Daphnia pulex: one gene and its partners. The protein of the gene in region 3 binds, or shares a complex with, the protein of the main gene of each other region. Links are inferred from orthologs where the notes say so. Each region holds a gene or a part of one and is shown on either strand. Other genes may lie near its edges.

Evidence for each region.
Region 1: the proteins of translation initiation factor eIF-2B subunit beta-like (region 3) and translation initiation factor eIF-2B subunit alpha-like are in contact, whole or in part, in a cryo-EM structure (PDB 7F64), measured with the Homo sapiens proteins. The link is inferred for Daphnia pulex from reciprocal best matches to the Homo sapiens genes EIF2B2 and EIF2B1. Residues at the interface, in NP_055054.1 of Homo sapiens: Glu107, Ser108, Leu109, His110, Leu112, Leu113, Thr114, Ser115, Asn242, Phe278, Asn280, Glu281, Glu282, Ser334, Tyr337, Arg338; in NP_001405.1 of Homo sapiens: Leu71, Arg74, Phe75, Leu78, Arg96, Leu99, Phe100, Arg103, Lys110, Thr117, Phe118, Lys120, Ser232, Phe235, Leu283, Asp287, Leu288, Val290, Thr292, Ser294, Ala295, Asp298, Glu299, Leu300, Lys302, Leu303.
Region 2: translation initiation factor eIF-2B subunit beta-like (region 3) and translation initiation factor eIF-2B subunit gamma-like share a complex: the UniProt entries of both Homo sapiens proteins name them as parts of the translation initiation factor 2B (eIF2B) complex. The link is inferred for Daphnia pulex from reciprocal best matches to the Homo sapiens genes EIF2B2 and EIF2B3.

What each region holds. Positions count from the first base shown.
Region 1 is NC_060023.1:2,531,269-2,534,866, reverse strand, and holds translation initiation factor eIF-2B subunit alpha-like, read right to left. Parts: upstream 2,293-3,598; 5' UTR 1,942-2,292; coding exon 1,929-1,941; intron 1,870-1,928; coding exon 1,762-1,869; intron 1,694-1,761; coding exon 1,554-1,693; intron 1,490-1,553; coding exon 1,112-1,489; intron 1,053-1,111; coding exon 927-1,052; intron 867-926; coding exon 708-866; 3' UTR 641-707; downstream 1-640. Other genes in the region: uncharacterized protein LOC124198557, read right to left, coding at 1-233, 290-425; palmitoyltransferase ZDHHC6-like, read right to left, coding at 2,620-2,752, 2,822-3,012, 3,078-3,293, 3,356-3,496, 3,567-3,598.
Region 2 is NC_060019.1:11,426,411-11,430,629, reverse strand, and holds translation initiation factor eIF-2B subunit gamma-like, read right to left. Parts: upstream 2,875-4,219; 5' UTR 2,760-2,874; exon of another isoform or gene 2,717-2,759; intron 2,556-2,716; exon of another isoform or gene 2,538-2,555; 5' UTR 2,526-2,537; coding exon 2,378-2,525; intron 2,320-2,377; coding exon 2,165-2,319; intron 2,097-2,164; coding exon 1,931-2,096; intron 1,833-1,930; coding exon 1,625-1,832; intron 1,551-1,624; coding exon 1,414-1,550; intron 1,343-1,413; coding exon 1,152-1,342; intron 1,087-1,151; coding exon 1,021-1,086; intron 958-1,020; coding exon 809-957; intron 752-808; coding exon 654-751; intron 587-653; coding exon 534-586; 3' UTR 356-533; downstream 1-355. Other genes in the region: vacuolar protein sorting-associated protein 33A-like, read right to left, coding at 3,808-3,874, 3,936-4,062, 4,135-4,219. UniProt on the Homo sapiens protein: Acts as a component of the translation initiation factor 2B (eIF2B) complex, which catalyzes the exchange of GDP for GTP on the eukaryotic initiation factor 2 (eIF2) complex gamma subunit.
Region 3 is NC_060019.1:5,860,665-5,864,363, forward strand, and holds translation initiation factor eIF-2B subunit beta-like, read right to left. Parts: upstream 2,222-3,699; 5' UTR 2,082-2,221; coding exon 2,017-2,081; intron 1,937-2,016; coding exon 1,850-1,936; intron 1,783-1,849; coding exon 1,504-1,782; intron 1,440-1,503; coding exon 1,283-1,439; intron 1,215-1,282; coding exon 1,020-1,214; intron 956-1,019; coding exon 759-955; intron 685-758; coding exon 612-684; 3' UTR 546-611; downstream 1-545. Other genes in the region: asparagine-rich zinc finger protein AZF1-like, read left to right, coding at 1-162. UniProt on the Homo sapiens protein: Acts as a component of the translation initiation factor 2B (eIF2B) complex, which catalyzes the exchange of GDP for GTP on eukaryotic initiation factor 2 (eIF2) gamma subunit.

The DNA of each region.
Region 1 (3,598 bases), on a different chromosome or scaffold from region 3:
TCTTGTTCGTTTCTCAAATTTCTGATGAGCTTTATCTCCAGTAGAAACTAGAACTTTGTTTAGAATGTCTTCAATGTTATCCCGTAGCCTTTCTGAATAGGCAGCAACAGCATCTTGCTCTTTTTCTAAGGCATTAAACTTCATTTCCTTCAGGGTATGATTCAGACATAGTTCTGTTATTTTATGTTTCTTCCCAGAAGGAGGTAGGGATGAGTCTACCGCAGCACAAGCAGCTGTAAAAACTTCATAGTGAACAAATTGACAAACAATATCCACAACATTTCATTACCTCGAAAAGTTGAACCAGAACCACCACCAGTAATACTTCTGTTAAGACTTGGTCTCCTCTTTATGAAGTCATCAATGTTGTTTCTTTCTCTTGGAAATTTCTCCGGAATGTGGTCTTTATTTGGCTCATTTAACATCTTTTTCCTCACAGTTTTCTGTAGTTGTCTCAATTAAACTTTGTTATTATTCCCTAATTTTGATTGTTAAAAAGTTAGAGCTAAATTAGCACCAACGCTAACAACTTCAACGGTTTCCAATTTGAAGTGCATCGTTCGAAACGCCACCTTGCGACAGATGACCTTACTGCATGTTATATTTTCCACACGCGCAGGAAAATGTCTAAAATCACAAAAAAAGTGACATGAACGTGTATTTTATTTACACATTTATCGATGTTTTTATATTTAGACGACTCTCTTTCATAGATAAAGTTTAATTAATTCATCACTGACGGCTGATGGAGTGAGAATTCCCAAATCTGTGAAAAGCAAAGTCAAATATCCTGGTGGCGTGTAATCAACTTGAGGATGCTGATCGAGAAGATTAGAATGATTGGATTCAATAATAGTTGACGAGAACTAAAAAAATTCAACACAAGTTTCAGCATTATGGAAAATTGGTTAAAAAATTTAACATACTTTCAGTTCTTGGGGTAAATCGCGTTGGTTCAGCGGGTAGAGACGGACAAATTTGAAGCTCTCAGCGAGAACGTAAAAGGGTTTGTGCATTTCCTTGGCACACAGCGCCATAGTATATGTTCCAATCTATTTCAATAAATTTTTCAATTTTTTTAAATAGTCAAATAAATATATTTTATCCGTACCTTATTGATAATGCCTCCGCTTTCAACAACACCTTCAGCTCCAACAAGCACTAAATCCACTGATTCCATGACATAACCCATGGCCGAATCCAAAATGAGAGTCGAACCAATACTGTGTTTCAATAGCTCGTCTCTCATAGCGACACCACTTAGATCCGGGTGAGATTCAGTGATGAAAACATGGAAACGTTTTTTGGATATAACAGCTGCTTCAACTAGTGTTTGTAGAACCACTCTTGATTTGGAGTGAGTGAGGATTTTGTGTCCATCAAGAATAAAAGGAGCCCCTAGTCTTGCAATTTTAGGTCTAGCCTCTTGTAATTTCCTTAGAAAAATTTCTCCTCGTTTCTTCATAATCTCCTTGCAATCTTTGAAATTCTAAAAAGAATGTTTTATTTTAAATCTATTAAAAATTTATGATTCATATTTATAGACAACATACTGATTGTTCAAGAGAAGTAAGTGTGATAAACCGTTGAAACAGTTCACAGCCTGATTGAACTGATGTAATTGAGCATTCAGCTTTCTTCATTTCTTCTGTTGCTTTTCTCAGTTCTTCCGACAATCCACGAAGAGTTTCACCTGTGAATATGATAGTCTTTAATGTTGATAATGATTATGCTTATAGATATTATTTTGTTTTTACTAACCATCACCAAAGTTTTCCAATATATTCATTAATGTGCGGATAGCTGCAACAGCTGCTGAAACATCCGGCTCTTCTTTCACAATTTTTTGGAAAAAATCCAATACATTTCCTAAAAGCACATTGATTACATTAGTTTTTTTATTAACATTATTTAATAACTAAACCTACTTGTATTTTCCATTTTATACTTATATCTTTTTTGCGCACTAGTAAACTTTTTTCCTCTCTACTTAACTTGGAGTTTCAGCTAGAAGAGCAGCACAGCAGCTTGCCAGCTTGCCACCGTTCCAGCAGCAGACGACACAATGAAAAGTCAACACTCCAGTCAGTCAAAACACTTGAGTACTGTACTTGTTTCTGATTGGCCCTCACCGATTAGTCCCAGGGAAGGATCTGCCGAGAGCCCTAGATTGATATGTCCATTATGTCACACGCAACCGCAAACATTCATAAACTGCTGTTATCGTTTGATGAAAGAAGAATACTTAAGTCATTCTATTCTTTTCACATTCCGCGTTAAAAACAAAAATGTCGTCGTCAACGTTGCCATTCTTCATCGTGCATGCACACAGGTACGGGTAGGGTAGCACCGGTAGCACGACCGACGAGCGACGACCGCACGGCGCACGAGATATCTGTCGAAAGTGAAATAAACGTTCATTTTGCATTTTTTTTTTTATTTTTTTAACCATAGTTTATTTCAAGATTTTGTGAATTTGTCAGATGAAAACCACCCGAAACATTTTAGACAAGGTGCAATTTTAGGTGCTTTGCTTCAAAACAAAGTGGTGTGTAAATAAAAGTAAGATTATTGGAACTTTTTGTTGTCTTATCCATTCAATTAAACTAATTTAAACAATCATTCCTCTTTTTCATATTCCACATAGGAAGGAGAGCAGGATGTACGAGGAAACCAACCGCGCAGTGCTCGGCGCTCAGTTGGATTCATTTGAACTTGACCCCTTTCTTGAATTTCGCCGTAAAGCCAATATCTGATTAAAGGACAATTATAAAAGTTTTGAAAGGCAAAAATTTCTTGTTGGAAGTTGTTTTTATCATACTTTTTCCATCGAGTAACCGCCACCTTATCTCCAATCTGCAGAGAGATGCGTGTCTCGTCGGTGTATGGTGGCTGAAGACAAACCATAATGCCGAAACTAATAATAGGGAACCACCTTCCACTGTATGCTTTCTCTACTACGTATTCTACGCAGCGTTCCCTTTTAATCTTTTTCTGTTCAATTTGTTCAATCTGTCAAAAATGAATAAATAGCTATAAAAGGTAGAAAATCTATAGAACTATGCATAGGATTATACCGTGAAAGCGTATGGATGGCAATTGTCCCGGACTTTCCACTCGATGCCATCACCTTTAGGCTGGAAAGAGAAATTTATTACTTCAACCAGATTCTTTCGCCATCCTAAATTGTAGGGGTGAATGAAAGAGGGTTCATCGGTTCCTTCTCGACGATAAACAGCTTTTTCATGAACCCAGTCTTCAATGCCTGTTTGATTTCTTAAAACCACTTTCATCTATGAAAGAATCAATCACTTTTAGGTTAAATAAAGAACATATAATCCAAAGAAATTCAAACCTGGACAAAAAATAGAAAACCAACAGCAAACACTACTCCGGCTGCTAATCCTAAGGAAATCAGACTCATCACAAAAGGCCATAGTCCCAATATTATAAAAGGCACTTCTCGTAGATTTGAATGGTCGTAGTAATCAAATGTCTATTTTTAAACAATATGATTCGTTTTTAAATTGTTTGTAACAAGCATACAAATTTTAGATTTAGCCAACCGGGTGAAGAGCTCTGTACATGGTGCATGAAA
Region 2 (4,219 bases), about 5.6 Mb from region 3:
ATAACATGTTTCACGGCGCGTAAATTGAAAAGAAGACGGATTATAAATCAGTAAGTAAACAGACACTACGCATAGATTTAAAAAATAGTTAGTTGTATCTAAATCATGTCGCGGTATTCTTATACGCCTATAGACGATCCGGATTTAAGTAAATAAATAGACGTCGTTATTTTTTAAGAAGAAAAAGTTGAACCAACCGAGAACATTAAATAAGAAATAAAAACAAATTCTCGTTCAGCTTCGGGTTAGATTTTTTCTGCTTCGCGGTTAAAAAAGGATGTATCACTAGATGCACAATTTTAATACATCTTCTTCAGTTCAAGTTTAATCGTAATTAAAAAAATATTACTAGATATGTAATTAGCAAATTTTATTGTTTGTATACTTTCAACCAAAATTCAAGGAGATGTCTCGCAATTTAGGCATACCAACGGCCCACGCAAACAGCGCCTTTCAATTGTAAGGTATCGCCCGAAGGATTATCACCACTTATTAGTTAGTTATTTGAGAAAAACATCTCAAATAACTTAAACTCATATTTCCAAGAGCCGATCAGCATCAACCAAAACTTCGTTGGTAGATTTGCCTAAGTGCGAAGAATTGAAACGTGAGAATGGCAACCTTTTCTGTTTATCATTTAAAGTATAACTTACAGTTGCTATGTACGGTATGTCCCACTATGCAGTCTTTTAAATCGCAACTATTCTCAATTACCGAATTATCCATCAGAATGCTGCCTTGAAGAGTTGTTCTAAAAAGAAGACAATTCATATACGTTGTAGCAGAAAAATAAATAATCTCATCTTACTCTTTCATGATCGTAACGTTATCCATGATGATACAATTGGTAATCCTAACTTTTTCTCCAATATTGCAACCTTGACCAATAACCGAATGCTTAATAGAGCACTTGTCCGATAACTGACTCGTTTCACCAATAAGGCAATCAGTTCCCACCTATATTATAAAAAATGTTATAATGTTTATCCAACATTTAAAAGTTATAAGGGTCTTCGTTACTTGTGCTTTGGATACGGGTGGTGTGATTTCCTCATCAGGAAACATTGTATTCCATCTTTTAATAACCTAAATTTCATTTTAAATAATAATAATATCGTCGATCGATTCTAGTTAACAATTTCTTTCTTTACTTGTCGGTTGAGCTCACAATAGTTGCTCAGCGAGTTTGCACGTAGACAAAAGCCTTCCTTGGCCACATAAGCGAAACAGCGGATATTATGGTCTTGGTACGGGCCACGCAAATCACCACGATGATCATTCCAAACAGAGTAGCTCCTGATTTTCTCTTCCTCTTCGACATCAACAAGGAAGCTGCAAATATCTTTACAAAAAAAGAAATTATAATACTATTTAGACTTTAGACGTAGAGATTTCAAATTCTATTTATAGTGCCTCGATTTGTAGTATTTAAAGAAACGACCGAGACATCCGCATTGGGGAGTTCTTTTTCGTTTTTTTTCCTTTGAGTTTTTATAAACTGTTTTCGCACAAGATGAGGCAAGACCTCACCCTTCAGCATAGTGAATGACCTATGTTAAAAAATTGTTTGTTTTTATGATTTATCCATTAACGCGTAATATATTTAAATAACGGTGTGACTTACCGGTTTTCGGCAATGTAATCACAGACCCATTTCTTAATAACGTAGAGATGAGCGTCAAGCAAGTTACCTTGAACACTTATCTGTGGGAAATGTTTCATCACTGATTTTCGGATTGAGAGTTCCTCCTCGTTTTCTGAAGTCAAATCTGCTTCTGAGACTAAGAAAACCAGACGAGGTGTTTGCAGATCCAATCCAACCAAGTCCCTTTCTAAAATTTTAAGGGAAGTTTTATATTATTATTTGATGAATATACTATCATACATTTTTTGTTATTAAAAGTAATCTAGTGAATGCTGAAAGATATACCTTGCTTGAATTTTGTTTTGGGACCAGGCACTGCAGTTGACATTACTTCTGGAGAGGACTGGCTAAAAAGTGCAGTCACACTTGATTGATGAGTTCTGTGTAAGTCAAACACATTGTGCAATGGTATATCACATACCAAGTCACAACTAATGACCAGGACATCAGTCTGCAATTCGATTGGATTTAAAGGTATAGTATATGTGATAAAAATCTTGCATTATTAAAGATTTATACCTTGATTCGGTCTTTGACTAGTCTAAGAGAATCAGCTGTTCCAAAGTCTTCATTTTTTGGAAGACATGCTATATCCAGTTTGATGTTCAAACCATACTTGCTTGGAATAGCTGCAACTTCAGCTCGAAACTGTTCATGGATAACAACTATGACATCTAAAAAGTAGTCCTTGTCACATAAAAGTAACTTTATTCAAAACAAAAACTGAAATACCTTCAAAACCAGCATTTTCCAACATTTTTAATGAAAACCATATCATTGGTCTGTTGCATATTGGTAATAGACACTTGGGACGGTCATGAGTTAAATCTGTCATACGTGAACCCCTTCCAGCAGCCATTATTACTGCTTGGTACTCCATGATTAAAGAACACTAGAATACAAATATAAACTAATAAATAGCAAACATAGAGAGAATTAGAAAATAAAAGGATGATGCGTTTTGTATCTGTTAGCACATGGAAAGGTAACACAAACGGTGTTACAGAAACGCACAACACAAACATTTCTAACTAAAAAAAATCGAACCAAACGGAAAGTATGTACGGGTACCTTAATTTAATGAATCGTAATAAAATAATAGCAGATATTTAACCTCACGGTAGACAAAATTAAACACGTTTCGTAAACAGCTGTAAACAGCAAAACACTAAAACACTAGCTCAAATTCTCAAAATGCAGTGGGTAAAATGCGGGCACGATGCGGGTTTGAGGCGGTTTGGCCAAAATCGTGGAAACACCTCCATGGAAAGCTTAACTCCGCCCACAAAGAGGGAGGAGCCAATTTGCAATTATTCACGGTTTATTATCCTTTTTTCAGGATCCTGCGACTTATTACTTATTAGACTTGCTTGAATTACCAACAAATAAGCTCCTCCTCCTTCTACTCCGATAAAATATACAAATTTTAAGCCACGATTTATTTTTGTCGATATCTAAAAATGTGTTAAGTAAGATCAGAAATAACGAAACAAGACCCTTCCAGGTTCGCCCTCGGGTATTAACGTGCAAGATATCAGTTAAAAGCTTTTGCTTATATTTTCAAAACAATTAAAATGTAGGAATTTCGTAAGATTTTGTTTATTGTAATTTCCTGGATTTTTTTTCTTTATCATTTACGAAATAAATTTATTATTATTTTATCATTTATCATTTTACGAAATTCTTGAGTTAAACTCAGACAGTGGCCCAATTTCTCCATCACAAGGGCTGAGGTAAAAAGGCAACAGTTCAGGTTACAAGATCGAAGCCATATTTTAGGAAAAAAGTTTGAGGCAAGGCAACAATTCAGGGAAACAGATGGAGGCAACAATTCGAGAAAAAAGATGGAGGCAATTAGCTGCAGTCGATGTTTAAGGACGTCAAGTAATTAAGATCTTCAGACAATCAGTAAAAAAGGATTTGTTTACTGATTGTCTTTAAGCCACTCCCTCAGCTCCCTTTCATCAGGTATATCCGGGTTGATCTAAAGAGAATACACAAGAAAAAAAAATCCCGATGAAAAAAACTGCTGGAGAAATATTATTGAGTTTAAACTAACCATGATTACCGAATCATCGAAGGAGTCTAGGAATATTTCTCCACTATCGCGTGCGAATGCAGAAACCTTAACACCTCCAAATGCAACAATGGCGTTATCCAGGCTACTGAGCTGAAATAGCTTTAGCTTTGCGACTGAGTGCAGTACCCACGGCTGAAAAGTTCTTGTCCCTGCGAAAATAAATAACTTTAAAACTGTCGGAAGCAAAATTTGTCTGATTAAAAATTTCACCTCAAATCAGCGTAAAGCTCTTCGGCCGAGTTTAGAACAACAGATTTAACAGAGCTACCATCAGAGCGAGGTGACTGGCCCGCATTTGATGAGGCTTGAAAATTTTCTCCTGGAAGCTTGACTGTATCTAAATAACAATGAAACCACAAAATGCAAGTAAAATAATTGTTTTACTCAGAAGCTAACAATACTTTCTTACTATGTTTTATTCCATGGAATTCGTCGATAAGACCCTCATAGGTCAACTGAGTGACAACAGGAGTTATCAAATCTACAGTCCTATC
Region 3 (3,699 bases):
AGTGTCATAATAGCTTCACCCAGGGTATTTCAACCCAAAAACACGTCCACACCAGATAAACCCAATAACAGCACCTTAATGCGAGCACTCCAAAACGCCGAAAAACAATGGACTGGCGCGATTGCTTTGATGCAGCTGGCCTCTTCAAGTTCGCAGTGCTGAAAAGAAAATGAACATAATGAATTCACCAAAGTTTTGTCTCTCTCAATAACCTATCCTTCCAATTCTGTCAATTTCTAATCTGCTGTTCCATTTCCTTGTAATTGCTCAGTGAAAAACGGTATTATTTTCGCTTATTATGATATTTCTCCATTTCCATCACTACTTTATTTTGAGAACTCTTTCTCGTACCTGAAAGATGAATCGACTGTTCTCTTCACTACTTATTTAATTTACTCTCTCCTTTCGATCCAGTGTCTTGATGAAGCTTTAACCAATCGATTCGTGCTTTTGGTGTTTACTCTTTTAATCTTGCTGATAGAGAAGACCAATACTTAGAACCCAACTGTAGTTTTGAAACGAAACAAAAATTCACTCCATGTTCGTAATTTTCTTAGTGCTGTGTGTTTATGTATCTCGGCCTTTTTAATACAAAGCCATTTTTTCCCACATTACAATTGCACGTCCAAAGGGTGGTACAGTTCACTGAGGAGTCGGTAGATGTAAGACGGTGCATTGCCTCCGCTAGAGAAACAAGTGTGATTATAAAATAGATACTTCTTCATTATCTTCAAACTATTTAAAAATAATTCGCTTACGTATTTGAAATAAAGAGTGTGACGAGCTCTGGAGGTACGTAGTCGAAAATTGGATTGTAGACGTTCACTTTGGAAACGAGCTTGCCTTCGTCGTTGTTCAATACTTCCTCGGGTGACACAAACTGGTTGAATCCATCTTGATCAAGGCTACAGACATATTCGGGACAGAGTTTAAACATTGGTGCACATACGACGAACTGAAATCATAAAAAATAAATTATTTTAGCTGAAAGTGTAGGCCTACAAAACTTATTCCATTACCGGAACCGAATAATGCTTTGCAGCCAGTGCAAGGGTATGAGTGCCACACACTGCTTTTAGACCACCGTTGGCCATAACAGAATGAGTACCGATGATTACTTTATTCACACGTGCCATCATTGCGAAAATGGCAGAATCCGGAATAAGGGTAGTAGAGATACGAGCTTCGGCTAAATCTGCAGCCAATTGATGTCCCTGTAATAATAGTCTGGAGTAAATATACAGGTGTTATGCAAATAAACGTTTTCAAATTCGCTGCCTACGTGGAAAAATGGAGCACATTCAGCAACGATGACCTGGAAAACACGATTTTTCGCAGCTGACTTCAGAAACGCCGAGACAGTTTTAGAATAACCAATAGTCATGATGATTTCGTTAGCGTGAATGTGTTCTAGGGCCTGGGCGGAAATGTCGATTTCACTGTGGAAACAAATTAAGGTAGTTGAATAGGCTGTGAAGCTAGACATGTGGTAAATTCTCAAACCTGGATTCTAATTCGGCAAGGAACTCTCCAATGTGCTCCATGATGGCTGGTTTGAGCAAGGGGATGTTTTTAGTGTAATCAGAATCACTTTCATCTGCTGTGAGAATTTTTTGAAGTGAGTCTTGCAAATCAGATTCTTCTTGTTTTCCTTTCTGCAGCATGGCATACTCATCCCTGACAATCTTTAACATTCTTCTTGTCATGTTGCCAATGACTGTTTCTGAAGGTGCAGTCTCTGCCAAATCTTTACCTATTCTTTTTATGGTGTCCATAAGCTCCCTACAGATTGAATTGAATCACTTAATAACTGGAACAGGAATTCTGGACTTGAGATAAACTAACAAACCTTGCATTCTGCCATTTCATTTGACCAATGATTTTTTTCCAAAGCTGTACGGAATTAAGGGCCAAGTCTCTCGATCCTTTGAACTTTCTACGAATAAAAAGAAACACAGAATGTCAATAACGAGATGGAATAGCCAGCATTACTTCTATGGCCTATAACAATCATACCTTTGCTTAAGATTGTTGGTGAAAGTTTCAATTATACCTTCAATTTCACTTTCAAGACTCGGCATTTTCACACTGATTTTCTATAATTTATTCTGAAATAACTGGTTTAAAGACAGATAATAAAGTGAAGTAGTTCACTGGAGAAAACGAGAATTTTGCAGCGTATTGTTTATTTACAAAGTTCGTCTGCAACTGCAACTGCTACTGCGCGAGTGCCCGATCGCTCAAATACGTACATCATCTTTCGAAGAAAGCCTCTGAAAAAGCGATCTGGTTCGTTATGGTTGGTTATGCCTGGGCTTATGGCATATCCATATCTCTATAGGCCCTACCATACCCCTGGTTATGGTTGGTTTGATAACAGAGTGAGTGTAAGATAAGTAGATAAATTCGTCATCTTTTATGCTTTTACTCGTTATCTTTTATTGTCGTTGCGCACACCTTTAAATTTGTGTTATCTATGATAATTCAACCAATAAGATTATTGGTGCGATTACAATCAGCACTGCCTTAATACCCAATCTAAAACGATAGCCAATCCCGATTGCGTAAAATGTGCAAGTGTACACTCTACGTCAAGACAAAATGTCATCCATAAATTCAGAGTGATTTCGCGTTAACGTTTAATGTTTTTGGGTCTTACTTTGATATGTATCCGGGGCGTTGGAATCAACCACATAATAATATTACGTCAAAGATCGTCGTAACAATTTACGGCCAAGTTTTGATTAGGTCGAAGTAAAATTTTTGGTGAGGGAGCTTTCACCTAACAGCACCACTACCTTTCTCGGTAAAAATGGGCGGCCACACGCTGTCAAGAGGTGCTGCTTAACTATATACAAAACTTGGATCAGCGAACACACGAAGAAAGACAATGGGAAGATCTGACCTGAACCTGTGGGTAAAAAGACAATGGAAATAAAACCCGAATCATCCCACATGGAAAAATGCCATAAAACCCCTCGTCGTGAAAGAGGAAAAATCTGAATTTCAACTTGGTAACAACTTGGTAACACTTCCAAGTTGGATTTCGCTCCTGCATTTATATTCATTCCGTCGTATACGTACAGTATATATTGTGACTTGTTTTTCACGATTACTCTTGACACAATTTTAAATGAATGATGGGCTTCTTACGCTGTCGCCTCTTTAGAATGTTTTTCACATCCTACTACATTTGGAGCAGCGAAATTAGACATTGTCGGGAAACTTATTTTTGTTCGTTTCTGGTGGGCCCTGGTGCCTACGTCTTAATCAATACATCGCCGGCGAAATAATGTGACAGCTAAAGTAAATAAAGACAAACCTGTAGGCGTCGGATACAAGACCATTGATTGAATAAAGCGATAATTTAATCACGGGACGCTCGATGGTGTCTAAGTACCGGGAGCAAGCCCGTTTATTTATAAACAACAATGGAGTCGGAATCAAATTGATTTTGATGTTTTCCGGCCAAAAAAAGAAAAAAAAAAGTTTAATATCTTGACCTATATCTTTGCTGCTGTTTGTGTGGTGGTAAGGCGGCAAATAAAAAACAGTCTAAACTGTTCGGGATCTAGTTTTCTGGTTGCCCGGTTTCTTTTGTTCCCTTTTGCTGGCGAGTGCCGAATCAAATTTGACTCTATAGGGGAAAATGTCCAAAAAATCGAAGCAAAAATCAGCCCAATCAAGAAACTGATATTT